Linked DNA regions of Mytilus edulis. The protein of the gene in region 3 purifies or fractionates together with the protein of the main gene of each other region. This does not show direct contact. Links are inferred from orthologs where the notes say so. Each region holds a gene or a part of one and is shown on either strand. Other genes may lie near its edges. The genes, in order: H/ACA ribonucleoprotein complex subunit 1-like, serine/threonine-protein kinase RIO1-like and methylosome subunit pICln-like.

The links.
Region 1: the proteins of methylosome subunit pICln-like (region 3) and H/ACA ribonucleoprotein complex subunit 1-like purify together in Homo sapiens (affinity purification with mass spectrometry; 3 studies listed by BioGRID and IntAct, counting the BioPlex papers as one, with this or other methods). This does not show direct contact. The link is inferred for Mytilus edulis from reciprocal best matches to the Homo sapiens genes CLNS1A and GAR1.
Region 2: the proteins of methylosome subunit pICln-like (region 3) and serine/threonine-protein kinase RIO1-like purify together in Homo sapiens (affinity purification with mass spectrometry; 3 studies listed by BioGRID and IntAct, with this or other methods). This does not show direct contact. The link is inferred for Mytilus edulis from reciprocal best matches to the Homo sapiens genes CLNS1A and RIOK1.

The regions. Positions count from the first base shown.
Region 1 is NC_092352.1:81,857,238-81,868,148, reverse strand, and holds the start of H/ACA ribonucleoprotein complex subunit 1-like, read left to right. Parts: upstream 1-5,703; 5' UTR 5,704-5,713; coding exon 5,714-5,801; intron 5,802-10,911. UniProt on the Homo sapiens protein: Required for ribosome biogenesis and telomere maintenance. Part of the H/ACA small nucleolar ribonucleoprotein (H/ACA snoRNP) complex, which catalyzes pseudouridylation of rRNA.
Region 2 is NC_092344.1:84,428,543-84,439,055, reverse strand, and holds the start of serine/threonine-protein kinase RIO1-like, read right to left. Parts: upstream 4,124-10,513; 5' UTR 4,055-4,123; intron 956-4,054; 5' UTR 953-955; coding exon 897-952; intron 1-896. Other genes in the region: voltage-dependent calcium channel subunit alpha-2/delta-2-like, read left to right, coding at 8,625-8,783. UniProt on the Homo sapiens protein: Involved in the final steps of cytoplasmic maturation of the 40S ribosomal subunit. Involved in processing of 18S-E pre-rRNA to the mature 18S rRNA. Required for the recycling of NOB1 and PNO1 from the late 40S precursor.
Region 3 is NC_092346.1:104,452,572-104,463,627, forward strand, and holds the start of methylosome subunit pICln-like, read right to left. Parts: upstream 4,408-11,056; 5' UTR 4,297-4,407; coding exon 4,160-4,296; intron 2,646-4,159; coding exon 2,503-2,645; intron 1,486-2,502; coding exon 1,396-1,485; intron 619-1,395; coding exon 547-618; intron 1-546. UniProt on the Homo sapiens protein: Involved in both the assembly of spliceosomal snRNPs and the methylation of Sm proteins.

The DNA.
Region 1 (10,911 bases), on a different chromosome or scaffold from region 3:
CGGACTTTTTGTCGAAAATGCATCGAACTCGAAAGTTGTCTATTAACAGTCAGGGGACTTACTTAAATGAGGGATTTTCTAAATCACTGATTCAAGTAACATTCTTTCCATAAAGGTTGAAAGTAAGAGTTGTCTTTCTTTAATAATCACCTATTTAAGTAGTACAAAATAAACACTAGAAGAAGTGATTTAATTTTACTGTAGCTTTAGATATAGAATACTAATGATCCAGGGACTAATTATGTTTCTTAACTTATCAGAACCAACATCTGTGTTGTCTAGGATCAGGGGCGGATGCAGGAATTTTCAAAAGGGGGGGTGCTAACCCAGGGCAAAGGGGGGGGTGCAGGGGGGGTGCAAAACATATGTCCCGATACAAATGCATTGATTGGCAAAAATAAAGGGGGGGTGCGCACCCCCGGAACCCCCCCCCCCCCCCTGGATCCGCCACGGAGGATGACCAGGTCATTTCAGGTGATGACCTTGTACTGAATCTAGGATAATGACATAAAAATCACTTGTTTAAGTATCATACCTCAATTTCCTTCCCAAAAATCACTTCTTTAAGTAGCATTATTTTAATAAAGGATTAACACCTACTAATTTCAACACCCCCGAACAGTGAAATTTTTATCGTGAACAGTAGAATTTTATTACATAATCTGAAAGATGAAACCTTGAACTTTACAGGAAAAATACTCCCACTGCTGGGGAAAATCTGTTAAGAAAGTATCAGTTCATTAGGCCAAAATAAAAAGATTGTATGTTTGCCCAAACGCGACCAACCCAAAATAAACCCGCCGACTCAAAATTTTTTTTGGACGTTTTTTTGAAGAATTTTTTTTTGAAGAATTTTTTTTGGGTCCGCTCCGTCATCGTACAAAACTTAATGTTAGTCGTCTTTGCGTTTGAAAGTAACTGAATAAGATTAAAAGAAAGCGTATAAAAGACGCAGTTAATCGATATTCGATGTTCTCTGTTTTTATCTTCTGATTTAACGAACGTAAAGAAGTAAAACATGTGAAGTGGCAGTTTTTTTTACGCTGTAGTTGTCTGTACTACCAAACCCTTACCTATATGCTCAATGTTAATTTCATCGTGTTATCGAATATCTGATAAGAATATTCAGGTAGATTTGTTCAAAACCATGTGCAATCGAATATTTTCAATGTTATTCTGACAGGAAATGGATCCGGAAAAGTTGCGAATTTACAATCTTGCAAGAAGATTTTGTTTTTACTGAATAAAAAAGAATTATTTCTTGATAAATTGTTGTCTTTAATTATAATCTTTCTTTATCATGTAAATTAGATGCCCTTTTATTCAAATAGTTCAAATTTACAAGTCTCATTAGACAAGATCAGTACGTTGCTGTTTGGGAGAATTTGATAAAACTATAATTGTTCACAGAATCAGAAATATAATCTTAACTGAATGTAACTCCCTCTGAATAATTTATTGCAATATAAATCCCTTTTGACAAGAGAAATCTGACTTTTGACAGAAATATTTTTTTCACATGTGCAAAAGTAAAAACATGTTATGGACGCCATATTGGATTTTTCTACAAATTTGTGAGGAAGCCTCTAGAACCATGACCTAAAAATAAATAGTCTTCAGAAAACGTTAACTTTATGCAATTATATTTTATCAATAATGATTATTTTCAAAAATTTAAACTTGATTATTTAAAGAAATAAAATTATAACAAATACGTTTTTAGTTTGGAGATTCTACAGAACATGCTTTGATCTATTTACCGGTATAGCCAAATTAGTTTACCTGTGTGATAATGTAAATACAAATTTGTTTTCAAAACATAAACAAGACACAAACTAAGGATGGTAGATAATAATTCATATAAATATTTTAATAGAAATAGGATTTAAAAACTGCAAACAAATTTAATCATTACATAATCAGCTGATATTTTTTTTACAAAAACATCGTGTTGATGGAACTGTTGAAAATCACTTCATAAATCCACCAGCCCTTTCACACAGCTAGCAATTGTCAGTGTTATAAACATCTCAGGATACAAATCATATAGTAGACTAATTTATTTATAGAGGTTTTAAATTCATGGCTTTTGGTTTTCTCTACAAAGGTTTGACGAAAAAAAAAAGATATACTGTTTTAAGATCTTTTAATATTTTCATGCAAATTCTGATAAAAAAAAAAAAAAAAAAAGAATTTGCCTACCTACCTACCCACACCCAGTCATCATGGGTCGGGTTTGGGCAAACTGAAATATTTTTAATTGTGGCCTTATGTAAAGCCATTATTATAGCATTTTTTTCAACTGAAATAGAATTGCAGCTAAATGATAGCATCAAAGGCATAAACCTTGATACTTAAAACAAGCAAAAAATTCATTTTTTTCAATTTTACTAATAAAAAGATATTATTTAAACCTATGTGTTTAAAATTTTGGTAAAACTACAAAATCACAATTTGTGACAAAACTTCGAATTTGCTACACAAAGTGATTTAAAAATCACCAAAGTGATTTAAAAATCACTTATTTCAGTTAGTCCCCTGACTGATTAACATGACCATGATGACATGTCTCTCTTGTACTGAATATTCCTCATATGGTGCACTATTTCTCATAAGTACGATGTTGATGTCCCACCATATTTCAGTGTGTTCATGGTGTTTGTCAGTCTTTAAGATTTTTTTTAGCAACAAATGTATTTTGACCTTTTGAGTGTGAAATAAGTCAAGATTATATTATGTTATAATTTGTTTTTGAATCTTTGATATTAACCATTTGTTAACCATGCTGTAAACTGAAGGTATACATGGTACCCATCAAAACAACATTTGATAGAAAAATTTAACAATACTTTTAGATATTTGGATGATATATTGGCTCTAAATAATGACGACTTCAGTATGTATACTAAAGAAATTTATCCTGTAGAACTTACTTTAAACAAAGCTAATGCTAACAATGACCACTGCCCTTTCCTCGATCTTGATATCTATATCATAAACGGGAAGCTTAATACAAAAGTTTATGATAAAAGAGATGATTTTTCATTTCCTATTGTTAATTATCCATTTTTAGATGGTGACGTTCCCTTGTCACCATCTTATGGTGTTTATATATCTCAACTTGTACGATTCGCTCGTGTATGTAACAATGTATTAGATTTTAGCGAGAGAAATTTATGTATTACTGAAAAATTATTACACCAGGGTTTTCGATATCACAAACTGGTCAAAACATTTACTAAATTTTATCACCGGTATAAGGAAATAATTCGTAAATATAACTCAACATGCAGACATCTTATACGTTCAGGTATTTCACATCCAAAATTTTATGGAAATATTCTTTATAAAGCACAAAAATGTCAGTATTCTCCTCAGAAACTAACAAAACCTTTAAATAGACTTATTAAAAGGGGATATAGTTACGATACTGTTGTCAGGTCATTAAAGATTGCATATTTTGGCTTTAACATTGATTCACTGATAGGGTCTTTGCATCGGAACTAAACACATTTATTTCTAAAAAAACAGTTGTTGGCATGACACGGGTTATGTTCTTCTCATATATTTTATGATAGTATGATACTAAACCCCTAACGGGAGGGATTGTACCTGATATTCATATGATGAAGACATAATCTTTCAATCAGTTTAATTGAGGTCTGGAGCTGGCATGTCAGTTAACTGCTAGTAGTCTGTTGTTATTTATGTATTATTGTCATTTTATTTATTTTCTTTTGTTACATCTTTTGACATCAGACTCGGACTTCTCTTGAACTGAATTTTAATGTGCGTATTGTTATTCTTTTACTTTTCTACATTGGCTAGAGGTATAGGGGGAGGGTTGAGATCTCATAAACATGTTTAACCCCGCCGCAATTTTGCGCCTGTCCCAAGTCAGGAGCCTCTGGCCTTTGTTAGTCTTGTATGATTTTAATTTTTAGTTTCTTGTGTATAATTCGGAGTTTAGTATGACGTCCATTATCACTGTACTATTATGCATATTTTAGGGGCCAGCTGAAGGACACCTACGGGTGCGGGAATTCTCGCTACATTGAAGACCCATTGGTTGCCTTCGGCTGTTGTTTGCTCTATGGTCGGGTGGTTGTCGCTTTGACATATTCACCATTTCCTTTCTCAATTTTATTATGGTACATGTATATTATCTTAAATTATATATCCTTGATAATATAAAAAAAAATGTTTTTTTCACTTGTTTCTGGTATATAACTATATTTAAAAAGACAATTTAATGTATGTTTCAATATTTATTAACCATGTTGATTTAAACAGGCGTTTAGTTAAGAAAGACAACTCTACCTTCCAATCTTTTTGGACATAATGCAGTGTTCTCCCCAGAAATTTTGGATAGCATCACATTTGGCGTAAAAAAAAATGTATTTTTTTCAATGTAATTTGTCGCATCGTGGCAATGCTCTATTTCCATTATGATATATATGCTTTATTGTTTATTACAAAATGTATTATATTGTTTGTATGCTATAGGTCCTTATTTGGTGAATAAAATATTCTATTCAACCCTATTCTTTGTGTCAATATTGTTGAATTCATGACTGAGAATACAATTAAAGTATAACCATGATAACAGTATTTTCAGTTTATGTTTTCTATATATTCATTTATAGTTCCAGAATTATTTTTCCTCTTGGGCCAAATGAAAAAAATATGTGTGGTTCTAGTTACCCTACCTACATGAACTACCCAGTTAAAAAAAAATCTTTATCATGTCTATGAAATATATTGGCTCATGGTATTCAATGAATCAGTCCCAGTTGTTTCTTTTTATCAAAATGATATATATTCTTAACAAAGTTATCTGACAAATAGTCTGTTTGTGCTTAGTTTTCTCTTTAGGTATCATTGTTTTCTGTTTACCATGTTTACTGTGCCATTTGTGCAAATGTAGTTATTATTGTAAAATACGGATTTTTGTCATATCTGGTCTGGTTCACATCATTAGTTTACACTAAAATATTAAATGGCCGTTGAAAGCAATGAAAAATACAAAAATAAACAATGTTTGACAAGAGATTTGGAATGAATATGGCGTTTTTAATGCATTAAATGGATGAAGCATAAACTAAAGCCAATATTGATCACTTTCTAAAGAAAGACCAAAACTTATTTAGCTCATAATCAAAATTTTCACTCTCGATTTACAAAAAGTGATAGGAAGAGGAAGAAAGTATATACTACTGTAATATTTTGCAGACCACGTGGTATTAATCATGTCACAAGTGACAGCTTAGGGTATTCCAATCCAAACAGTTATCCCCCAAAGGCAATTAACTCCTATTTATTCACTCTTATTTGTCTATTGTCCGACATGAAGGGATTAAAGGTGATATATTTTTTATGATCATAAGCGGTAATTAGATGAAAGTTCAAAATTTAGGACATGGCTTTGCCATATAGAAACGAGAAAAATAACATCCTAAAAATAATTATAGCGTCACGGAAATTATTATAGCGTCACGGGAAGAAAATATAGCGTCACGGTACCGCGATGCTAAAACGTCCTGGGGAGAACACTGAAATGTTTTTTGAATCGGTGATTTAGAAAATCATTCATTTAAGTATAAAGTCCCCTGACTGTTGATTATTATACTACTTAGAAAACAAACTGAATAAACAACCTCATGGAACATTGGTGATAATTTTTATATATTTGCTGTTTCAAGGTTTTAGCATTATGGGATTTGAAAGAGGTGGTGGTAGGGGTGGAGGCCGAGGAGGAGGAAGAGGATTTGGCGGTGGTCGTGGAGGTGGATTTAGAGGAGGTGAGTTTGATGGGGCTGATCACAAGATCTTGACTTATTTGGATATAATTTGTTCAAGATGATCCATATATAAGTTTTATACCATGAAAATTATACATGTACATGTACATGATGTAGCAGTCAACCCTCATTCTTCATCAAGCTAAAGATAACCATCCAATACTTTTTTCTTCATTGTTCTTCAGAATTTGGAAATTTTCTGATAGTTCCTTATTATTGGTAGCAGAAGAGTTCAAATCTCCCACTTCAAAGAAATGTCATGTTTTCTCCTTCTTCACAATTATTAGCCAATAAATACTTTAAGTCATGTCAAATTGTTTAAACATTTATCATAACATTATAAGCTTGCAAAGTACAACGTTACAAAGTATTCCTTATATGATGTTACAATGTAGCACAGTTATATCAATGTGTACATACATATTTAGCTACATATACCTGCAATTGTCAGAATGATTAAATGCTGTTAAATCTTGGTTGGTATATGGGCAGGAATTTGCTAGTGAAATTTTAGGGTCAATAGTGTTTATCCAATTAAAAAATAAAGAAATCATGCAAATATGGAGAATAAACATTGTTTAAATATCAAAGTGGGTTAGTCTTTATTGCCACATGCAAAAAAAATGGTTCCAATTAAAAAAATCAACAAAAAATCAGCACTTGTTATGTGCTGGCAGTTGAAAACTGTAGACAAAAAGTGTGACATTTCTGCAGTGGCAAAACCCCTAGTCATATTTAGAATATGCCTGAAGAATTGTTCTACTATAATAGTTGAAAATCAACTGCAAAATGATCGGTCTATCATTTAGAAACCCCATTTTGTACAGAATCCGATTATTGCTGCAAATAAAATACGTTTGAAAATGGACAAGTGCATGTAACTTTTCCCGTCAACAAATGTTACATGCACCTTTTCATTAGCTGATTAGCTTTGGAAACAAGTTATTGGTCCAGCATGGCAAATTTTGAAAGGTGTCAACAATGGTTACAATTTGGATTTCATGATTTTTATCAATCAACTGAAGTTTGAAAAATATAGAAGGTACGAAAATTTATTTCATTTTCGTGTCAATACTGCCCAATAATACTTATCTTTTTATAACAGTTGTATACTTTTTATAGTAAGCATTAACATAATTATTTTTTTCACATTTCAACCCACTGACAATTACATTAAAATGTGGCTTTGTCATCTTTCACACTTGGCATCTACCAGTGATCAAGCAGATGATAAGAGAGTGGGACCAGGTTAATTTGACCTCACAATGAAGTGTTACATGCACTTTTTGTGTAAATTAGGTTCTTTGATAATAATGTGTGACTTGCTTTGCAATTTTGTCAAAAAATATAAGTTTATCTTGTATTTTAACAGGTTTGACCCTTACGATATTCATTTTATTGCTGGAGAGATTTCTGTACATAACATTGACACGAAAATATTTACCAAGGAAAGGTGTCTATGATACATGCAAAAGCTTTTTTTTGTACGGTTTGCCTTATCAATCTAATTTTTTACATGTAATACCACAGATTAATTGCCAATTTGATTAACTAGTACTTGTATTCATTCTCAGCATTATAAAGATAACTGGCCACTTAATTTGAAAACATAAAATGTAACATTGACACCAGAATAAAAACAATATTACTTTATTACACTTAAAGCATAATTGGCCAGTGCATAATATTAAATCAAATGTAAATTTAAGCTGAATTCTTAACAGAGAAGTTGTTGATCTTTCTTGATTTCTAGACTTTACAATATTTACTTGTAATTCTTATCGTTTAAAGGCATGTAACATTGACACATCTTCTGTGTCCAGGTTACATGCTACAACCTAATAAATGTGCATACAATTATTCAATCAATAAAATCTTGTTGAAATTTAAATTTGCTTCATTAAAATGATATTAAAGAAATAAATGAGTTTCAATTATTTGTGTTTATTTTTTTCCTGATTGACTAGCATTTTTTCCTCATCATTTGTTGGTGTTCCTGTCAATGTTACATACATAACCCAGAATTATAATGTTTTAAACGCATTGATTTCCAAACCTCTGTTATGAGCTTTAAAATGAGTTTATCTGAGTTTATAAATGACTAACATCTGAAATATTGTCATCACACAATTTCTTTGATGCTCCTATGATAACTTTATGAGTAACATGGACTACGATTTTTGTATCAGGTCTTTTTTGTGTTACATGAGAAGATTTTACTGTGTTGAAATCAACAGTTAATCTAATTTTTTATATTCAAAGTTATTATTATGATACTTATTTTAAAAAATAATGTATAAAGTAAACCCAAATTAAACTTTTTTTTCATTAAGAAATTGCATGTGTATGTAACATTGACAGAGTCTATTATTTAGACTTTTACATGTTCAGGCCATTGTTACATGCGTACACACAACTTACTGCCATATGGAGCTATTATCTTATTTTTATTTTACAAAATTAAAGCGTTTTCATGTTTTCCTGTTTAATTTGTCTTTTAACACTAGCTAGTAACATTGACAACAATATTTTGTGTCAAGATTTTTTTATGTTACATGCAAAGGTATTACTTCCTTAAAGTCAGAAATTTATATAACATTTTATAACCTAAATGATTAATTAGATATTACTGGGCAGCAATTATATTATTTTTCCAAAGTTGACTATTAAGCACACCACTTTCATCTTCTGGTCTTCATGTATGTAACATTGACATACAACCTTTTACTTTCTGTCAATGTTACACGCATGAACAGAACTGATAACATTTACTAACTCCTTTGCTCTATAAAGAGATTATTGATAATTTAACTTGTTTTACCACCATCAAACTTCATCTTTATTTCTAAATATAGATATTCTTTTTAGAAGTGTATTTTCTTCATTGACAACAAAATTGGTGTCGGTCATGAAAATTTACATGCAATTTTTAATAAAAAAAATCTACAGGCAATATAAACCTAAGAAAGAAAAAGATGATCAGCAATAAATGTGATGAAGAAAACTCTCAGGAAGATGCTGCAAAAAGATACTGTCCCTGTCAACCAGTCAGATGGTGATGTCCCTGGCAGCCAGACAGATGGTGATGTCCCTGTCAGCCTTGAAGATGGTGATGTACATATCAGTCAATCAGTTAGTTGGTGATGTTCCTGTCAGTCAGTCAGTCTGTGATGTTCTTGTAAGCCAGTCAGAGGGTAATGTCCCTGTCAGCCAACAGATAGTGATGTCCTAGTCAGCCTGGCAGATGGTGATGTTCATATTAGTCAGTCAGTTGGTGATGTTCCTGTCAGTCAGTCATATGGTGATGTTCCTGTCAGCCAGTCAGATGGTGATGTCCCTGTCAGCCAGTCAGATGGTGATGTCCCTGTCAGCCAGTCAGATGGTGATATCCCTTTCAGCCTGTCAGATGGTGATAACCCTATCAGCTTGGCAGATTATGATGTCTGTGTTAGCCAGTCTGATAAGGTCCCTATTAGTGAGTCAGGTGATGACGGTCCTTTCAGCCAGTCAGATAGTAGTGTTTGTCTGTGTCAGAAAACCAGATGATGGTGACTGTGTATGCAGACATAATAGTGATCTCCAATTTGACCATTCTACAGCAGTGTAGAAGATTGTTATTTCAAAATCTTGTTTATTTATCCCTTTTCAATCACCAGTCAACACATGTATCATGTGTATTTACTGATGCTCATTATAGAAATCATGAGGAATTCAATTTGTAACATTTTTTTTTAATTGTTATGCCAATAATTGACATTCCAGAATATCTTTTGCATTATAAGAGGTTCAGGCTCCTTCTGATTTCAAAATAATAATAATAAACTCATCATGGATACCAGAATTGAAATTTTGTAGCCCAGAAACGCTTTTCGTTTACAAAAGACTCTTCAGTGACGCTAATTATGAAACAAAAAAGTAAAAGAAGGCCAAATAAAGTTGAAAACAGGACTATGGTCTGTTGTTTTTCTCTTCTGAATTGTTTTACACTGGTCATTATGGGGCCCTTTAAATTGTGGCTTCCTGTAGTTTAGGTAACAAGTTTTCAAGATGAAATGGCATTGAAAAATCGAAACAAGATATTTGAGAGTTTCTATATTATTGTAAATTTTATATTCTATGCATGGATTTTGGTTCTGATTAAGGGTAGATTAATTGTTGTTTTGGTTATTTCTTTTTTCAGATAGATAGTTGAAGATGTTGGAGACAGAAAACAAGAAACAAGAAACTTGTTTTGAATGTTTGAAATAAAATTTATTGTTTAAACCTTAAAAAGTTATCATAAATGTAAGATTAACCAGCAGAAATAAAACGAGATATGGGGTAATATGTCTATCAGACAACAACCTCAAAGATGAAACCCAAATTGTTCTTTATAGAAGTTATGTAAACGATTGAAAATAAGATTCTCAATAAATGCAGCTGTATCAACCTCTCGTAGATTTGTCCATATTTTGTCTTGGTTTTTCATACTATTAGTTTTAAGTGTAACTGTGTCACATGAATGAGGGATACATGTAATCATTTTGTACCCTTACTTTGTCAGTATTAGTTATTGCGTGAGAAACTTGTGGATGCTGGTGGTTGTGTGGTTGTGTGGTTGTCTTCTTATCAATCTCATCCCTGTGCATAAAAAAACGGGTTGCTTTTATAACTTACTGATATAAAAATGTTTCATGTTGTGGAAATTTTGGATGACTCCTTCATCAATTGATCTATCTTTGGTCTTAATTTTATTTTTCTGGTTATTTTGACATTTGAATATCTTTTAATTTAGCCTTCCATAGTGTACCACCATGAACAAGCATAACTACTGGTATAGTTAAAAAATATGTCTGTTGTCTGAAATTTAGGTGAATGGTTTTGGTATTAACCACTATTTAAATAATATCATATATGAGAAATGTGGCAGTATAATTGTATAATTTACATTCAGATGGTTGTTTGGAGGCTTTTTATATCTTTTAAGGTCAATTCTGGCATGGTTCATTATTCATATATTTTGTGTCCACGTTACATGCAACATTTAAGTCACTATTTTATGACAGAAATGAGATAATTGCAAAAATATTAATACAATTTTTTAATGTGAGGGTAACACAATGAAAAAGAG
Region 2 (10,513 bases), on a different chromosome or scaffold from region 3:
AAATAAAAAAATAAAAATTAACCGATCAATATTAAATTTTATACAAAATAAATATGTTCTTATTTTTTACATTGTTTTATAGAAAGAATATTCAAATATTTTTTCTGGTGTTTTTTTTCTTCTTCATATTGTTGGTTTTTACCCATATAGATGTATACCCCACATCTTCCTCCATATAGATCTTATTTAATCAAGGCCACAACAACAATAAAGAGAAGAAATTTTCAACTACAGCTTACAAACACAAAACAATGAATCTGAATGTTACAACAAGCTTCTTCTTCCAAAATCTTTCCAGGAAAATACACAAGAAATCATGAACCTTGTTTCCAATTTATCACACAAGATACAAAAAAAAAAGTAGCCTAGAACTTTTAAACAGATGTGGGGTTCAATGTAGATATCAATTATGTCAATGAGACTGCAACTTAACTCAAAATAGTTTTCAATTAAGTTATCATTGATCTTGAGATGTGCAAATTTTTTGCTATGAAATAAACTGACTGAAAAGACAAATGAAGTCAAAATTTGGTCTTTTAAGGTGGTACCCAACACTTTCACTAAAATTAATTTGGCTCGTTTAATTTTCATAAAATTTTGACAAAGTATTGACTTTGACCCTTTGACAAAAATATAAAAGTTTCAAAAAATTTGAACCAAGCATTTTATCAGAAAAATTACACTGGTTATATAGCAGTTTGACAAACACTAATTTTGATCATTGAGAAGCTTAATATTCCCTTAAAAACACAACGTCATTAAAACGTTTAGGTGATTTTACAGAGTTATCTCCCTGTAGTGTTAGGTACCACCTTAAAACAATTAAATATAATTTGCTATTGAATTAGTCACAATTTTTTTTTTTTAGTATATCTTTATTTTGAGACAAATCCTACCTTTCAGCGTCAGCATCATCAAACTGCCCTTCTACTATACATGTATCTGTTGACATATTCTGGAAAAAAACCCCATAAAATACCTGAATGAAGCATGCAATATATCTTTTAATATCACAAAAAATAATAAAGAAATGGAATGATTCAAATAAATTCCTTTTGGACACCTCAGCCTATAGTAAGGTGACACCAACCATAAATTGATGTTCTCAAGAGCTTATGCTTTTATTGTTACATATGAACTGAATCAAAATAAAACTTTCGTATTTGTTTTCATGAAGAGGATGTATTCATCCAAACACTGTATAGAGCAGGACACAGGAAAATTGACCATTGCTGCACTAGCATTTTTATTTCCCATTTAACATTAGCATAACCCTGGTTTACCACTCCTAATCTGTTTGAATAGAAGAAAGATATACATTGTAATACTTGATATTCCAATAAGAGAATTTAGATATCAAGGAAAAATTAGGTCATTATGTCACAAGACATACATGTATGTCAGGTCATCCAGGGAATAAAAAAATATAAGATGTTGTATGATTTGCAAAAACCAATTGTGCCAGACCCTCGTGGGTAGTCAAGGTTGTAAAAAATTGCCTAGTAGTAGTATGAATTGCCAATGAGACAACTCTCAACCAACTTTGGGTCATTGATGGCGTTCAACAATAAGCATACACCTTATGACTATTTGTCCACCATAACTTGACATGCTTCATATTACACAGGTTTCCGTAAAATTTTGACATCATAAAACAAAATATCTGATGCCACAATGAAAAAGTGATTGTTGTATGTGTCAAAAGTTCAAGCGAACAGGTCAGCCGGGATCAGGGGATCAACGATAAGGTGTATTCAGACCCATCCTGCATTCATTCATAAAATGAAATTGAGAGTTAATCAATAATATTTGCCATGACCGTGAATTTTTCACTATACCATATTATAATTTATATACAAAATGATTTAAAATTCCAGTCTATGATGCTAAAACAAACACTGGCTGTCTAGGCTATTAACTGTAGGTATGGCAAACCAATGGGAGATAACTCCAAATTACCCTAAATAATTGTTCCCAGATGTGTGTAAAAATAAAATCTTTGGGTGACCTCCGATTACGGCCTTCTATTAACTTGTTAAGTCTCAGAAGGTTCTGATTGCTTTTGATAGATATTATATGAATATACATGATTTTGTATATTATAATTTTCGGGAATACGATGAAATATTTGAGGTACAAACAAGGGTTTGAAAGTTACATTCGTTTCAAAAAAATACAAGGGAACTTTATACAGCCATAAAATGTATTTTTTTTATCAAGTTTAATATATTAATTAAATAATTAGGTCCAATAAATAAATCTAGATAGCTGTGTTCATATCAAAATTAATTTTTATAAATAACCCTCCTTTTTGTGTATACAGAGTTATTTCCCTTGCATGGACAATTTTTGGTTTAGTTTTGATTGGAAATCAGCGGCGATAGTTTTTTTTTGCATTATACAGCCAGTTTATTGCGATTTAAAGATAGTTCAACCACTTGCCATTGCACACGAGATAGTAAGGATACTGAATAATGTGGTTTAAAACATATGTATTTTCAACATGTTCAACTAAAAAGACATACATAGGAATCCATGCAGTAGTGGCAGTTCACTTTGAATGCTATTCACATTCAATGCATTTTGAACTTCAGTCCTGAACGAGATTGGTTTACAGATTTCACTGTATAAATATTGTAACTGATATACAGATATGAATTTACTTTACTTTTATACATACATGTAAAAGTATTTACAGTGATCTGACATAATTATTTTGTTTGAAATTTCTTGAATAAAAAATAGTTATATTATTTTCATTGTTTTTCAGTGCAACAGGTATTTTAGTCCTGTAGAATAATTGTTAAAAGCTTGTTGTTTATTTTTATTCATAAGCATTTACTATGTACATGCTATATAAGAATAAGAATATTTCATTAAATAGAATGTTAATGAAAAGGGAACATTCTAAAACTATCATGACTATACAAAGACAGATGACATGTTTCAAAACAATTCTTGTCTCTCATGGTACATCTGATTTTTATAGTTCGTTCTTATGTTGTACTGTGACAGGTCAGGGGAAGAATTGGGCACCCGCTAACATGTTTAACCCCACCATATTCTGTATGTATGTGCCTGTCCAATGTCAGGACCCTGTAATTCAGTGGTTGTCGTTTGTTGATGTGTTAAATATTTGTTTTTCGTTAATTTTTTGTACATAAATTAAGCTGTTAGTTTTCTTGTTTGAATTGTTTTACATTTGTCATTTCGTGGGCCTTTTATAGCTGACTTTGCGGTATGGGTTTTGCTCATTGTTGAAGGCCATACAGTGACCTATAGTTATTAATTTCTGTGTCATTTGGTCTCTTGTGGAGAGTTGTCTCATTGGCAATCATACCACATCTTCTTTTTTATACACACACACAATTAAACATATATACATTTGTATATAAAGAGTAATATTCATATTAATATTTTGTTTCTTTACATTCAAATGTTTATAAGTTTTACTTTACATTTTCAATATACCAACTGATGCTCTGAAAAAAGGAATATATAAAGTTATCGTCATGTTATGTGACTTTGGACGATAGAATTTCATGAGAGTGGTTGACATTTTCATGCTTTATGCTTCGAATTTAAACAAAAAACTTAACATGGAGGATTGAAATTGACTTACAAGATGTAAAAGAAGCAATATTAACAAAACTATAACCCAAATGATTAAAAAAATATATTTTATTATTTTTTAAAGAGAGGAAACAGTTTTTCCAGAATAGTAAAAAATTTCCATTTTGAAAATTTGCTATTACTTCGTTGTTATTATGTGTATTGATAAAAGTGAAACTGTTTTGAAAATGTCTTCACAATGCCTTTAAAATGAGATTAAGTTTTCTTAGATCAGTTGATTTAAAAAAAATCACTTTCCGTACCTATTAACTGATTAATTTTCTATCTTAAATATTTATGTAGAAAGATGAGACTTCTATTTTTTCCATATAGTGAGTAGGATACAAGGAAAGTCCGTGGTAAGATATAAATACAGCACAAACATCTTTAAACATGATAAAGTTGTCTGTTTCTTAAGAAACCTTAAAATGACAAGACTTACTACGACGACATGTGCTTGTTCAGAACGACAACATTGTGTAACATCCGGTAGACGATGTTAACCAATCAGGTCGTTTGTTTTATTCTTTCATCTAAATTCTACCAATCGCTATGTTTTTATTAAAATTCGTCTGCATAAATATGTTGCTGTGAAAACACAGCTGCAGCAGCAAAGGATGTTGCCAATTTCACTTCTTCTACCGCAGTTTGAAAATTTATTTGATAACCAGGTAAATAAGATACATATGGTACTCAACTGTAAATAAATTTCCTTTCAATTTTCATTAAAAAATCGTTGCAATAGCAATTTATTGTGGTCTTGAACTGTTCAAGGCAAAAATCAATTTTCTCAACTGTGATTGTAAACAATCGACAGAGCGAGAGACAACCTTTGGCAAAAGCAAATATATATCTGACAGTTCCGTCAGTCGAGGCCTTTAAAACCTCGATGACAAAGCTGAATTAAATTTCCAAATTTTGGGGAGGGGGGTGGTCAAATATGCAAACCAAACCATGGCAGTATAATCAGTTCATTGATTCTGACCATTATCTGGCAGAAGCAGAAGTATAATATTATTTAATACAATAATTATAAAAATATAATAGAATTTTATTATCAAACTCGGTTTTTATTCTATAAAGTCTAGTAGTAGTACTCTACTCTAATTTCTAAATCATCTAGGCTAGTCCTAGTCCAAATAATTATGACATTTTGAAAGGCTATTATATTTTTTTTTCTTTGACGCCTTACATCGACAGAAGGAGTCAAAGCAAAAATTTAAGATAGCCTTCCAGACGTCATAATTATTTGGACTACATCTAGGCTATTCACAGGTGTTCTTTTACAAACACACAAAAAATGATCATAAGTTTTATTTTTCTTGTATTAAGGGCATCCGATACAGTTTTTCGATATGTCATTTTTATAGTTTTGAAATATGTTGTTGGCCTTGGCGAGTTATAAAATAAAACACGAAATAAAATATAGGTCACCGTGCTCGTTTTCAAGAAAATTGAGGCTGAAAATTGGGGATTTGTGCAATTTTGTAAAAGAGGTACATGTAGGCAATGTTATAAAATTTTTGGAGCATATATTCTTCGTTGTAAATTATTAAGATCGGGTTCAATTTGAAGCTGTGATAAGTGACAATAAATAAAAAAAATAATCGCTACACGAATGACTATACAATTATTCAAGCCTTGCTTGACCTTGCGAACCAGATCCTCAAAGTGGTATTTTTTAATCCCAAAAATATGAAAATAAAGTGTTTCTGAAAATGTCATTTTTATCATTTTTCTGCATAAAGTGCATTTTGTCATGCTTTCTCCAAATCTCAAATAAAAAATATATGTCACCGTGCTGGATTCTATGATAAACACGATTTATCCTAAAAATTGCGTCCCCCCTTTGTAACCTCAACGTTAGCGCTTAAGTGCATGACATGGCTGGCAGACTTTTTCGATGTTATCGCTGCAAACTGGCGACATTTTTTAGATGTATAAATATTGCTTGTAAAGAGCTGCCTATAAATAGGTAAAATTTAGAATGGAAATGGGGAATGTGTCAAAGAGACAACAACCCGACCAAATAAAAAACAAAACACAACAGCAGAGGGTCACCAACAGGTCTTCAATGTAGCGAGAAATTCCCGCACCCGGAGGCGTCCTTCAGCTGGCCCCTAAACAAATATATACTAGTCCAGTGATAATGAACGAATATTGTTTTCGGAAATAAAAATCATGTACATCATAAATACATCTCTTTGTTTGTGGTCTAAGAGAGAAATATCTCAAGAAAAGTGCTTACGGACTGTTGATAATTTTTCGGCTTTTAAAACTAAAGACTTGGCAATTTAGAACTTGACATTCAGGTACATGTACTGTACACACTCGTGTATTTACATACTAGTATGTATTAATTTATACCATATGTTGACCTCTAGATGTTGTTTTTTTTTTTATTCATTTTGTTTGGTGGGCTGCTGTTTCATTACAATACTCCTTTAAATTCCTCTATTCACGTTTTAATCACTTTTAAGAATTTTACATTAATTCATAGAATTAAACTTTTATTCGGGTCAATGTTACAATTGAATAAAATTGAGAGGCTCCTAAACAGTTTTAGAATTCACAGTTTTTATAGCTGACTATGCAGTATTGGTTTTTCTCATTGTTAAAGACTGTATGGTGACCTATAGTTGTTAATTTTTGTGTCATGTTTGTCTCTTGTGGAGAGTTACATCTCATTGGCGATTATACCACATCTTCTTTCTTGTTTAGTTTAAACATATTTATTTATAGTGGATTGGGAAACAAGTTTTGCAACTTATATTAATCCCTTTCCACTTTGCGGGTGCGAGTGCTGCCTTGTAGCGGCATTAGCCTACTTTTTTTTGAAATCTACAAGGGTGTCTTTAACATGCAAGAGATATGGCTCTCTCTTAACACGGATCAACCATTTAGCGTCCCCTTCCGACGGACTATCAACTTTCCTCAACCCAAACTGGAATCGAACCAGGAACCTGTGTGTGAGAAAACAAAACAAAATCTTATAAAGGAGAATCTTCAATATGCTAAAGGATGCTTTTGTCCAGACAGAGCAACTATACCATAATTATTTCAATTTTTGATTTGGCAAACACGGTTGAATTAATAGCGAGAGGACTGGACATATTACCTATGCGCAATTTCATTGGAAATTATAACTATATATTTTTTTCACCACAGCGAGCTGCATTGCAGGGTACATAAAATATCACACTTTCATTCCTCTGTCGGTCCTTATGGTTAATTAGATTTTTCAAGTGTACAATTCTTGTCAAATTTCTACTAAACTGATATCGTATGGACACGTTCCAAAATGAGTGCATATCAACTATCCTTTAAAAGATACAGTGCAGACTTTGAAAAAAACAACCCTGGTTTGGTTACTTAAAAAGTTCACCAAAAAGAATACAGATCGATTGACCATCATAAAAAATACAACCATGACATTAGGATAATATGCTGTATCATATTTACGACGGACAGACGGAAGCCTGACATTTGTATACCATAATACATCCCGTCAAAATTTTTGCATGAAATATTTGCCACTGGACGTTAATCAACCAACAATTAATTAATTTATAGGACTTAGTCTTGGTATTAAGCTGACATTTTAGGTAGCGACTTCCTCATATCAAAAATGATAATTCACATGCATTATATTAGGAACACCAAAAGGGTCAGTCATCTAGAGATTGCTACATTGTAACTATACGATATTTTGTTGAAGATCTCACAGAAACAGAAATGTGTTTTATTTCTTATGGTTTTATTAGACTGTTATCCTGTCAGAATCAAATCCACTAATATTAATGGTGTAGAAGTTAGATGTGGGAGAAACAAAAATTGGAGCATCGAAAAATCCACATTACGTTTCTAATTACGGAAAATTACACGCATTACGTCCCGAAAAAAAAGTGATGTTTTTCCGGAATTTAAACGCTTAACCTCACGCCAAGATTTAACTGTATCAGATGACCTTAATTACAAAAAAAAATCAGCAAACCAGCACAGCTTACAATTAGTATTACATTTTCACACATTAACAATGATTAATTTCAAAGATAATTATAAGCCAGGCAGTATCTGTGGACCTCTTATGTTGTAAACTTATATAGTCTGTTAGTTAGCAGTGTGTATAGAAAGTCCCTGGTTGGGACGAGTATCTAAATAGGCATTTGTACCAGCAACCAGTTTTATAATACAACTTATCGGTATTTGTTCTCCATTACTGGATATTGCAAAGATTCCCATTAAGTTTTGACCTCACAATAGAAAATATCTGACCCATCAAAAAAATGCATCTGTGGAAGATTCTCAGGTCGTCTAATTTAAATTAAATCCTTGAATTGTGTGCATATCAGATCAAGAGCAATTCAAGGATTTCACATACTGTTTTTGTGCAACAATGGAAACCCACCAGGCTTTTTCGCATAACAAGTAGTTAGAAACAAAAGCCATGGGAGACAAGCAAGTGCTATTTTCAACTCCTGAAATTATTCTTCTGTTCAACACCCCAAGTATAAGTCAACCAGCAAGTTAGACCACCATTTATGAATAGCCTGGTTACAGTACTAATCAATCAATGTAATATGTCTTTTCCTTTCAGGTTGATTCTCATGATTGAATGGAACTGTGAATTTGTCCATTTTTATGCCCCACCTACGATAGTAGAGGGGCATTATGTTTTCTGGTCTGTGCGTCCGTTCGTCCGTCCGTCCGTCCATCTGTCCGTTCGTCCGTCTGTCCCGCTCCAGGTTAAAGTTTTTGGTCAAGGTAGTTTTTGATGAAGTTGAAGTCCAATCAACTTCAAACTTAGTACACATGTTCCCTATGATATGATCTTTCTAATTTTAATGCCAAATTAGAGTTTTTACCCCAATTTCACGGTCCACTGAACATGGAAAATGATAGTGCGAGTGGGGCATTCGTGTACTGAGGACACATTCTTGTTATGTCATATTTTGTTTTTTTTCAGATGAGACATCTTTAAAACCTAATAAGCGGTGTTTCCATGTTGACTGATGATGTATTATTTACATTTCTCCTCGGTAGTTACCATACTTATGATTATATTACCAAAGGATATCACATGTTATCCAGGGGAAGAAAGATATGATATGGGTAGATTAGAAGGAGATGTACAAAACTGGGCTCAGCTGATAGAAAACTACATACTGCAGGTAAAATTGTATACCATACATGTATGTATACTGATTCATATGAAATTATACATTAAATTAACATCTAATCATTATCTGTACAACACATACACATGTTAATGTATATGTACATGTACATGTAAAATAAGTGAATGATGATGATCAAATTAGAAGCATTACTAGAATAAAAATTGACATACATAGCTAAGTACATGGCATCTCAGCAATTTTGTTTAAGAACAGGTTAATATTTGTATATTATGACAGTGATTTATACATAATCAGCTTATTTGTTTCACAATGTAACTTGATGCTTTGCAAAGTTTTAACTGGACACGAAAGGATGATTGCTTGTCTTTCTGTTTACTGTCAGGTATTACTTTTAAAGAAGATGAATATACTAGATTATAAATAAACGTTATATACATTTATTCTTAGAAAAAACTAACCTTATAATTAGGGCCCTATAGTGATCAGTCTGTCCATCCGTCCGTCCGTCCGTAACACTTTAACTTTGTGTCCGCTCCATATCTAGAGAACCATTATGATTTCATACTTTATACTTTACATGTTTATTAACCACCACCAGAGGGCGTGTCATGATGTATGTACAACTTCCTAGGTCAAAGGTCAAGGTAAAAAAACTTTGGTTTCAGTTGACAACCCTGTGTCCTGTGGTGAAGATCATGTCCGTTCTAAATCTTGAGAACCGTTATGATTTCAAAGTTTATACTTGACATGTATATGAACCAACACCAGAGGGTGTGTCATAATTTATGAACGACTGCCTAGGGCAAAGTTCAAGGTCAAAATTTGGTTTCAGTTGACAACCCCATGTCCTATGGTAAAGATTGTGTCCGCTCTATATCTTGAGAACCGTTATCATTTTTAAGTTTATACCTGAAATGTATATCAACCAATATCAGAGGGTATGTCATAATTTATGTGCAACTTCCTAGGTCAAAGGTCAAGGTCAAAAACTTTGGTTTCAGTTGACAACCCCATGTCCTATGGTAAAGATCGTGTCCGCTCTATATCTTGAGAACCGTTGTCATTTCAAAGTTTATACTTGACATGTTTATAAACCAACACCAAAGGGTATGTCATAATTTATGTACAACTTCCTAGGTCAAAGGTCATGGTCAAAAACTTTGGTTTAAGTTGACAACCCCATGTCCTATGGTAAAGATCGTGTCCTCTCTATATCTTGAGAACCGTTATCATTTCAAAGTTTATACTTGACATGTTTATAAACCAACACCAAAGGGTATGTCATAATTTATGTACAACTTCCTAGGTCAAAGGTCAAGGTCAAAAACTTTGGTTTCAGTTGACAACCCCATGTCCTATGGTAAAGATCGTGTCCTCTCTATATCTTGAGAACCGTTATCATTTCAAAGTTTATACTTGACATGTATATAAACCAACACCAAAGGGTGTGTCATAATTTATGTGCAACTTCCTAGGTCAAAGGTCAAGGTCAAAAACTTTGGTTTCAGTTGACAACCCCATGTCCTATGGTAAAGATTGTGTCCGCTCTATATCTTGAGAACTGTTGTCATTTCAAAGTTTATACTTGACATGTTTATAAACCAACACCAAAGGGTTTGTCATAATTTATGTACAACTTCCTAGGTCAAAGGTCAAGGTCAAAAACTTTGGTTTCAGTTGACAACCCCATGTCCTATGGTAAAGATCGTGTCCGCTCTATATCTTGAGAACCGTTATCATTTCAAAGTTTATACTTGACA
Region 3 (11,056 bases):
CAGTAAAGGTGGTGCCACCAAAATTCAATCTTGATCTGTGCTTTGTGGTAATAAGTTTTGGGTATAAGTTCATAACATTTGGTTGAGCCAAAATAAAGTTAGAGAATGGAAATCAATTTTTGGATGTACAGACGAACAAGGGTAAAACTTAATGCCCCCTCAGCTATGGCAATGCATAAAAAATAAAAAAACATTTAATAATCAATATGTCTTAATTATGAAAGTTTAAAAAGATATTTCTCAATATTAATTTACTTATTAGTGGCTATGAATTACTATCTCATGGATGAATATCTCCTTTTATTTACACTACTTGCGAATGAAATCGTTACATATCTTTATAAATCATACACTTTCTTAAAGATTTTAACAATTGGTTGATGATGGAAGTTTTTAACGACCTTGACTGGCTATACAGCCCTTACGAGGTCAGCTAAACAATTGGCCAGCAGGTTTTTGTCCTTTTAAACAGAAACACAGACTGGGATTAAGCCAATTGATAAGTTACTACACAATTTAAACACAAATATTGTCTATAACATTTACCATCAAAATCTGAATCATTTTCATCAGGATGCAATATCTGACAGTCTGACATGGCTTTATATAACTGATCCACTGAAAAAGAGAGGTATATTGAAATAAAATTTGATATGGCTTAATATCACTGATCTACTGAAAAAAATAATTAGGGCAAAAGGTATTAAACTTAATGTAAGTTGTAAGACAATAATAACAAGCATTCTGAGAATCATTTGTACATAGTCCTCTACTGGTTAGCATGCATTGTACTTGAACAAAATGCTTACTTGATCTATTACTTGTCATGGTGTAAATTTATAACAAACATCAAGTCAATGTCTTCTAGCATGACGAAAAAAAGGGTGGAAAACTGATTATTTAATTGAGTCGTCCAAGGACAATAGCTATCATCAGACCAGAACAAAATTTGAACTTGATCTGTAACTTTTCATGATAAAACAATAGTCAAAACAGCAAATGTCAAATCAATAGCTGCAAACACAAAGAAAAAAATTGTGGAACACTGATTATTTGAGTGAATTTTTCAAGTCCAAGGATCATAACTCTGCACAAAATCACCAGCCAGAACAAAATTTACCTTGATCTGTAACCTGTCATGATATTAAAACAATATAGCAAATATCAAATCAGTATCTGCAAGCATGAAGAAAAAAGTGTGGAAAACTGATTTGCCAGACTAAAGGAGTCAAACCTAAAGCCGCCTTGGACTTGGTTGGTAGGGGACTAATAATAATAAATTTATAGATGTCAAATATTACGGACATTTAAAGTTAAATAAATCATATGCATGTTTTGAAAACAAGATTTATATAAAATTTCCAGTACAACTGTTATCCCTGAGAGAGTACATACACACAGTTTTATCGTCTGGTACAAATCTCATCTCTGTTGATGGGTCAAGGTCTTCATCATCTGATTCTTCCTCCTCTCTGTTCGCATCATCTACAACACACATGTAGTTTAGCACAATATAGTTTACCGGCTATTCTGTCAATACAATGTTAGCAAATTTTTTCAATATATTATACGACAATTTGGAGAAAAGATATCATTCTCAATTTTACAGTCAAACACTACTGCCACAAAAAACATCGGTAGATTTGAGGTTCACTGGGTATTTTGTCCATACAATATTCATCTTTTTTTATCATGTTTATACACCAAAAAGGATGAAAAGTTTTAATGTCCTAATAAGCATTAAGTGTTTTTTTAAATTTGTTAGATGTATGCCAGTATTATAATTATGTCATGTGTATGTATAACTGTTAACATGTACTGTATCAGTTTATTTCAAAAACTGATACACGCTCAAATAATTCAGTAACTTAGTTTAGTTTAAACATATTTATTTATAGTGGATTGGGAAACAATTTTTGCAACTTATATTAATCCCTTTCCACTTTGCGGGTGCGAGTGCAGCCTTGTAGCGGCATTAGCCTACTCTTTTTCGAAATCTACAAGGGTGTCTTTAACGTGCAAGAGATATGGCTCTCTCTTAACACGGGTCAGCCATTTATCGTCCCCTTCCGACAGACTATCATCGTTTCCTCAAGACCATACTAGCAGATGGTGTCAAGGGAGAGCTGAAAATTGAGTTCCTGAAACTTTCATCCCAAACGGGAATTGAACCAGGAACCTTTGTGTTAGTAGTCCGATGCACTAACCACTACACTACGGCTCTCTAACTATTCAGTAACTATAACATGTACATGTATAATATATATATAATTGTAGGATTTCTCTGTAATATTCATATATTATTTTTGTAAAGACTTATCATACTGATATACTGATGTTAAAAAAGCAAACTACAAAAGTTCGTTTTTGGTTGTTGAAATATATATGGCAAATCGTTAGCCTTCAGAAATAGAATACATGCATGACAATTGTAATCATAAACGCTTCAAATTTTTATTTTTATAACAATTCGACCAATATTAATATTGATTTATTGTTTACCAGTTAAATCTCCTTCCACCATCAAGTATAAACATTCATGTGGAAAGGCTGTTAAATCTCTGGATACAGCATGTATACTTATACCAGGGTACTGTAAGGAAAACCCTTGTCCTTCATGTTCTGAGCTCTGCCATGACACACAACTGAAATTAAATCATGAGGGACTTTAATGGGATATGAGATACGGTAATAATTTGACTTAAATAAAGCAAATTTATCAGATCATGATGATGTAATATTTTGAATGGAAATTGGCTAACTATGGTTAATGATTGGAATGCAGTTATAAGATTACAGTGGAGTCCCTGGTGTCCACATGGCTGTTGATATCGCTCATTAGCTGTGGAATGCAGTTATAAGATTACAGTGGAGTCCCTGGTGTCCACATGGCTGTTGATATCGCTCATTAGCTGATTTCGTCATATCTGCACAATAGCACAAATAAAACTGTTCTTGTAATTGTTTTAGCTATCAGAAGGGATAGAAAAGAATAAAATTGATAGTTGAGAGTAAATTTATAACTGCAATCCCATAATTTACCATATCTAGCCAATTTCCATTTAAAAATCAGATAAAATTTGTTTTATTCAAGTCACATTTATATGAGAATGGAATAGAATAGAATAGAATATTTTTATTTCCAAAATTACAGGGCCCATAAAGGGCATAAAATCAGATACAATTGATTTACATAATTGGTAACAACAACAATAATTAAGAGGCATATGCATATATATTTGGAATATAAGTATTGGAATAAATTTTGCTCTGCCTCATTGCAAGGCAGTGTGTTTGGTTCAAATTTGTAGTATTAAATCTTTTTCTTTATTCAAAATAAGCTATTTTTGGAAGGCATGAACGAAATCACCTGACATTTGACGGACTGGTAAAACAGGGGTTTCCATAATTTTGAACACATCAAATCTTCAGGGTGAAATCATACAAACAGAAGATTTAAGTAATAAAAGTATGTTATGAATGTGTTAATGCAATATTATCCAACTATTGGTTTTATCAATTGAATGAAGTGAAGTCATAAGTCTTAGGTGCCTAGATACACTGTACTGCCAATACTCTTGAAATTATCAATTTTAATATTTTTCTGTTCCTTTGGAAAACTAAAACAATTACAAGAACAATTCTACTTGTGTTACATTGCTTATATGTCAAAACAGGTAATGAGCGATATCACCAGCAGCGGGGACATTACTATATGGGGGTCTCATTGGGGGTTCTAATCCCGGTTCCCGCTTACTGTTAGATTCCCATATCCCGCTTACACTTAATGTATGTGGGCTAAGCAATTCTCATTTTTTTGTAATTTCCGGTGTTCCGCTAGACCTCATTTCCCATTTTCAGGGCAGAAAAAATTTGACTTTCATGTGTCAAGAGTACAAAAAAATTGGCAATCCCACGTCACGCTTAGACCCCAATGAGACCCACCTGTATGCCTGTATGTGTGTATTTGTTTGATTATTTTGTAAATTGTTTGTTATATTTCATTGCATTTGGCTTCAGGGAAGATTTGTGTTATACTGTGTAACACTCTTTAAATAAAGAATTATTATTATTATTATTATTGAAGTATACAAGTGTGTAAACACAGTAATCAATATCATATCATCAATTATCATCTAAGTTTGAGTTTGATAGCAACCTTTCTGCAATAAACAGCGTGCCTTTTCCAAGTGCTCTTTCGCCAACAAATGCTGACGTATTTTCCTGTTTTTTCCGTATCCCCTCATCTGGAGGGGAACATGAATTTAAGAGAACCATTTCTTCTTTGACAACCATGCGTCCAACGTGCGTTGCAAATTTAAAGTGAAACTATTCTCTAGATTTTTCGCTGTAAAATAAAAAAAGTCCAAAGAACATCCACGCAATATGTGTATCATCTCTGCGTTTGAGAAAGCGGTAGTTTGCATGTAAATATTCAAGCACTATTTATGGTCCCTTCTTTCAGGTTACAAAGTCAGTATATATCACTGAAACACATCCTACTTGTTATTGAAGAATGCCAGTGAAATAAAACAGGTAAATTTCACTCAATTAAATCAAAGACATAAACCGTTTTTTTTTCAACATACTTTTGCTACATAGTTATTTTTGTAAGAGCTTTTAGCTAATAAAATATGATGGATGTGCTAGGAACTAAAGTCTGAAAAATTATGGACGAAGATACATTTTATGAGGCAGTATCCTTTTATATTATTAAATATATAAAGAGGACGAATTCCGTATAAATGTGATTTGTTATACAGTTTTGATACTTTTTACTTGAATCAGCTTAATAATTTTGAAGTCAATACTATTGTCAGTATTGATTGATTGATTGATTCAGCTTAATAATTTTGAAGTCAATACTATTGTCAGTATTGATTGATTGATTGATTGATTATTTTTGTTTAAATAATACAACATAAGATCATACAATCTAATTGTTCATCCCAAGGTTGGTAGTTGTTAACAGAACTCATTATGTCAATACACAATCTACAGAGCTTATTATGTATTGTTGTATGTATACAAGACTTTAAAATAAATCTTTTATGCATTTTATACAATTTTGTACATAAAAAAAAACAAGGACTTGTGACTTACTATACAAATCCTTGAAAAAACCCATAATGATCAGGGATTCAGATTTGAGCGAAGAAGATGACTTCCTGTCTGTGACTTTTCTTTTCTGTTATTAAACCCTGATAAGCTAAATTTTGTTGTGTATTGGGAACCCAAAGGTGTCGTTAGTGTACATGGTGAAACTTGCAATCAATGGTATCATATTGATTGTTAGATTTTACCCAGTAATTCATATGATATGCTGAATGATAGCATTATAGGTTGGCACTGTTTAATTTTTGAAAATCCAAACTGCAAGCACATGCACTTTTTTCTTGGGTTTGTGCTAGTTCATCTACATGTAATTCATTTGAAATTTTATATCATTCATTGGACTTTTATATATCATTTGACTATTTAAATGTAGTCCAAATAATAATGAGGTCCAGCAAGACTATTTTGATTTTTTTCCTGGGCCAGACATCATAATGGGCCATTCCAGTTAATATCTGCTAAAGGGGGATGGATGGTCCTTTCTGAGGGGTGTTAAATTTATACATCTTAGGGGTGAAATTTTGGGTTTTTTCATCTGACACGTACACTTATACGCAAAAATTTCTGAGGGTCTTGCAGCAGTAAATAATTAAAAATAATTACATCTTAGGGGTTACAAAAAATACCTATTTCAGATCTTAGGGGTGCTTTGGAATGTAGACAGTTTCGTATCATGCACTATCTGGCATTATATTTAAAATTCTGATGGGTACAATCCTTGCAGTAAAAAATTCTGATAGGTCAATTTTTTCCATGAAAGCCCATCCACCCAATCTGAACAGAAACTCTACATCTGATAGGTCTTAATATATAGATCTGATAGGTAGTTTTTCGTGATGTTTTTTTCTGATAGGTATGAACAAAAATCTCCCCATCCATCCCCACCTGTCAGAAATTAACTGGAATGGCCCAATTATTTGGACTAATTCAAATGATGACTGTGCCATAAAAATGCCAAAGAACTTTTAAACGATCTCACCAGTCTACACCAAAATATACAAACAAAACAAACATAAATTGTTAGACATCTCTAAGAATACTTTACATCAATTTTCAGCTAAAATAATGATTGTTAGGTGTACATGTCTGACTGGCTTGGGTAATCTGACCTTGACCTCATTACAAGGAATTTATAATTTAAAGTATATAAGTGGTTGAGATAGGTTGCACATATCTTTGTGATAGTTCCATTAATGTTTGCCTAAATTTCAGGGTAGATTCTGTTCGGTTGCACATATCTTTGTGATAGTTCCATTAATGTTTGCCTGAATTTTAGGTAGATTCTGTTCATCTGTTGGGTTTCACATAGCTTTGTGACAGTTCCGACCATCAATGCTTATATTGCCTGCCCTTGCAACTGAAAGGTTAGGGGGCATATTGTTTTACCTCTGTCCTTCCTTCCCTCTGTACGTTTGTCCTTCCGTACGTCCCATTATTGGTATATCGTTATTCCGCATAACTCCTTCTACAGTTCGAATGCTAGGAAGTCTACTTTGCTATCTGTTTGTATATATACTGAAGGTGTGCATGTGGCTAAGAGTTTTGATTTTTGTCGAGCCTGCAACATATTTTTCATATGGATTTCACATGAGATTCTGACATGTGAAATGCATGTGAGCAATTTTACATGTGTATCCATTTTTTGTCTTGCGTTGACGGAGTCAAAAAGCGAGACATAGGTATGCTGTTTTCGGCGTCAACAATGTATTAGTTTGTAATTAGGTCTAGTTTATGGTGAACCACAAGTGGTAGGTCAATCATATTTGGTATGCCTTTTTATAAGCATTGGCAAATCTCATTTCCATAGAGATTATTTGGCCCTGCCCCCTCAGTCATGGTCTAGATCTATTGACTTCGAAACTTTTGCTTATTTTACATGTATTAGTGCCTGATTAGGTCAGTTTATGGGGAACCACAAGTGGTAGGTCAATGATATTTGGTATGCAGTTTTATAAGCATTGGAATATCTCGTTTCCATGGAGATAATTTGGCTCTGCCCCCTTAGTCATGGTCTATAGAGTTTGAAATTTATTCTAAGTTAAATCATGTATTAGTTTGTGATTAGGTCAGTTCAAGGGGAACCATTAGTGGTAGGCCAATTTTATTTGGTATTCAGTTGTATAAGCATTGGCACATCTCATTTCCATGGAGTATATTTGGCCTTGCACCTCAGTCACAGTCTAATGACTTTGAAACTTATCTTGGTTTACATTTATTAGTTTGTGATTAGATCAGTTTAAGATGAACTGCTTATGTTAAGTCAATAATATTTGGTATGCAAATTTATTGGCATTTGCAAGTATTGTTTCCATGGAGATTATATAGCCCCACCCCCTCTTCATGGTTCATTTACTTCGAAACTTTTTCAAAGTTTACAAGTTATAGTTTGTATTTAGATTTGGGAACGACTTATAATAAGTCAATGGTATGTGGTATGCAGTTGTATTAGCATTGGCACATTTCATTTCCATGGAGATTGTTTAGCCAGTTAAACTCAGTCATGGGTCATTGACTTTGAATATTTGCATAACTTGTGTAAGATGTTAGAGTATTGCTATTTGGATTTCAACATTTGCATAATCAAAATTACAAAAAGGCGAACATATCTCTGTGATAACAGTTTATTTTCATAAATTATGATAAAATCAATTTAATTACAAAAACTGAGTTGAAGTTTTTTACTGAGACTATTATGCTAACGGGACTGGAAGCTGTTACATCTAGTTAAAGAATATATATATAACTAGTCCAGTATTGTAATACTACCTTTTTTTTTGCATTTGATTTTGTTTTTGAAATGGTTCAGTGTAAATGTCAGAAGTATTGAAAATATTGATTAATGATATTACATAGATAGTTACAATAAGGGTACCAGTAGAACCAGTTGATTAATCACAGACTCCACATGTAAGCTTACCATTGATATTATATTAAAGTCATTTAACATGTCTGAATATTTAAACTATAATGTAAAGTTGATTTTAATTAGAATTTTAAAGGAACATTTATTTGGTATTTTCTTCTGTTTAAACTAATGAAACTTTTAATTGTGATCACGTTACATGAATTGATAAAAATAAAAAATTGCAAAAAATATTTGTTAAGCAAATTCAGTAACAAAGTGACACATGTAATGCTTATTTTTTTTAATCTATTTAAAAACACAAATTGATCACTTCCTTAAAATTGCCGGAACTGTATTACCATATATTATAATGAAAAAACTAAAAAAAGTATTGAAATTATGCACAAAATTCATCCATTCTTTCCTCTAGTAATTAAACCCCTTTCTAAACCTTAAGCTTTGGATTCTCACTGATGTCTTCTACAGCATTTCTGGATATAAGTCCTTGTTTATAACAGACAGTTCTAATTTTGACTCTTTCTGCATGTTTCCAAAAATAAGTTTCAATAAATGGAACACAACTGTTTCTATTTACTCTAACACTCTAATATGGAACAATATTTCTTGTAAGATTACATTTCAACATATTGACCAGCTGTACCTGGTTTCACTTGTACTCTTACATGTTAAAAAGAAACAGGATGTCCCTGTCAAATCTCATATTTTATGGGAAATATTTCTTATCAATGGATGACATTAGTAAAAAATGAAAATATTTCTATCATTAGGGGAGATTATGATCAGAATCAAGACAGGACATACTATTGATTTGTGTAAATGATTTAATGTCAGTTTACATTTGTTAACTGTTTAGAAATACACTAATTTGTGTGTACTATTGAAGAAATATATCTCAAAGGGTATTTTGTCAGATGTAACTAGCTAAACTATCCTAACATTAGAAGATATATATCAGCTGAAATGTTTGAATAGATATAAGAAGATCCAATGAGACAACTTTCCATCCAAGTCGCAACTTGTAAAAGTACTTCAATACTGAGTATTGGCTCACATCGAACAGTTAGCTATAAAGGGCCCCAAAAATGACTAGTGTACATGTAAACCAGCGGTCTAATCTACATTTGTATATAAAAAACAAGAAACACTTATGAATCATATCAACAAACAACTACTACTGACCATGAACATCAGATTCCTGAAGCATATATACATTTGTATATACAAATATAAATAAACTTTATTTACAAAAAAAATGATTTACATGTAACCCAATAACTGAGTGGATAACACATTAAACTGAAACAAAATAAATATATTTGTATTGAATATTGAATGATATAACAATTAATGGATTTAATCATTTTGGCATTATTTAATTTAAATTGATTCTACATGTACATTTAATGTGGGATTTTATGTAAATGAAAATGCGATCAAATGAATACTTGAACAAGGATTTGTGCATATGTTGTGTAGCATCATTAATTCAACAATTTTTACCTATACTTTATTTAAGTATAATAATCTTGTTATTTATATATTTATTTTTGTATTGTATATATTTTATCTTCAAACTGTACAGGAACATATAATGATCTTTATTTAAATCTCAATTGATAATGATAAATACAAAAATTGACCTTGTTTTGTAAACAATCAACACAGATAATATCTTGGGTTTGTTTATTTCAAATATCAGACCCTGGACACAATGTGAAGCTTTTAAACTATTTTGATTACTTATTAACCAGATTTACTTGCTGGCCAGCAGTTGATATTTTGCAATATATATGTTGAGAAAACCCTGTAATCTATAAAGAATGATATTCTTATGTATGCTCTTAGAATATTGATACTAGTATAATTCAAATAGTATTATATATATATTTAACCTTTAAATGCCATGTGAACTCCACCAACCAATAGAACTGGTATTATATATATATTTAACCTTTATCAAATAGTATTATATATATATTTAACCTTTAAATGCCATGTGAACTCCACCAACCACTTGAACTGGTATAATTCAAATAGTATTATATATATATTTAACCTTTAAATGTGAACTCCACCAACCACTAGAACTGGTAGTGACCAAGAAATTGATTTACGTCATTTATGTACACCATGTGCTGTTTGATACTCTGGTGATAAATTTTAGTACAGAAATATATATACAAACTAGGAATTTCTCGCTACATTGAAGACCTGTTGGTGACCCTCTGCTGTTGTTTTTTATTTGGTCGGGTTGTTGTCTCTTTGACACATTCCCCATTTCCATTCTCAATTTTATGTTTGTAATAAGATCTAGAGGTGTTAATATCATGTTTCTATACTCATCTTAAAACAACACTTAGAGTGCATTTTAACCCGAAATTTTGTCATCGATGACTATCGTTTAGTAAACGTTAAGCTGCTAGAAACAAATACATCATTTAATAAACTTCATCGACCCCGCGTAGTCAGACAGAAATAGATTACACTCACGCACTGTAAACAAACAGGTAAAAGTGCGGGAAATAAATAACCAGGACTTTATGAAAACAACACGTGCTCGTAATTATTTAAACGACAGATGCAGAAACAAATATATCCTTTACACGTCTCAACGATAAACGATCAACGACTACGCGACTATTTTGCGCGTACATCGTTTATGTAAACGATGTAAACGTTGACCAAAAACTGTAAGAAACAAATGGATTAAACGACTACGCGCGTAATCGTTTACGTCGTTTAGGTTAGAAACAAATGCGCTCTTATTTGAAAAAAAACAGATATTTATAGAAATCATAAAAGTGAATGACATTTGAATTAACGTGTAGGCTCAAATTTTTAAAATGTCAAACTTCTATTAGAGTTCATACATATACTACAATATTTTCCAGCAAAAATCTTGTCAGTTCAAATAGTTTCTGTATACTATACTACTACAGGAAGACTTTCATTTGTATCTTTCCATTAATAGTAGAAACATTAATTTTCTCGGGGTTAAAATTTTGTGGTTTTGTCTCTGTGTAAGATTTCATAAGGATTTAATTTCGTGGTTTCCAGTAAATGGTAGTGATATTA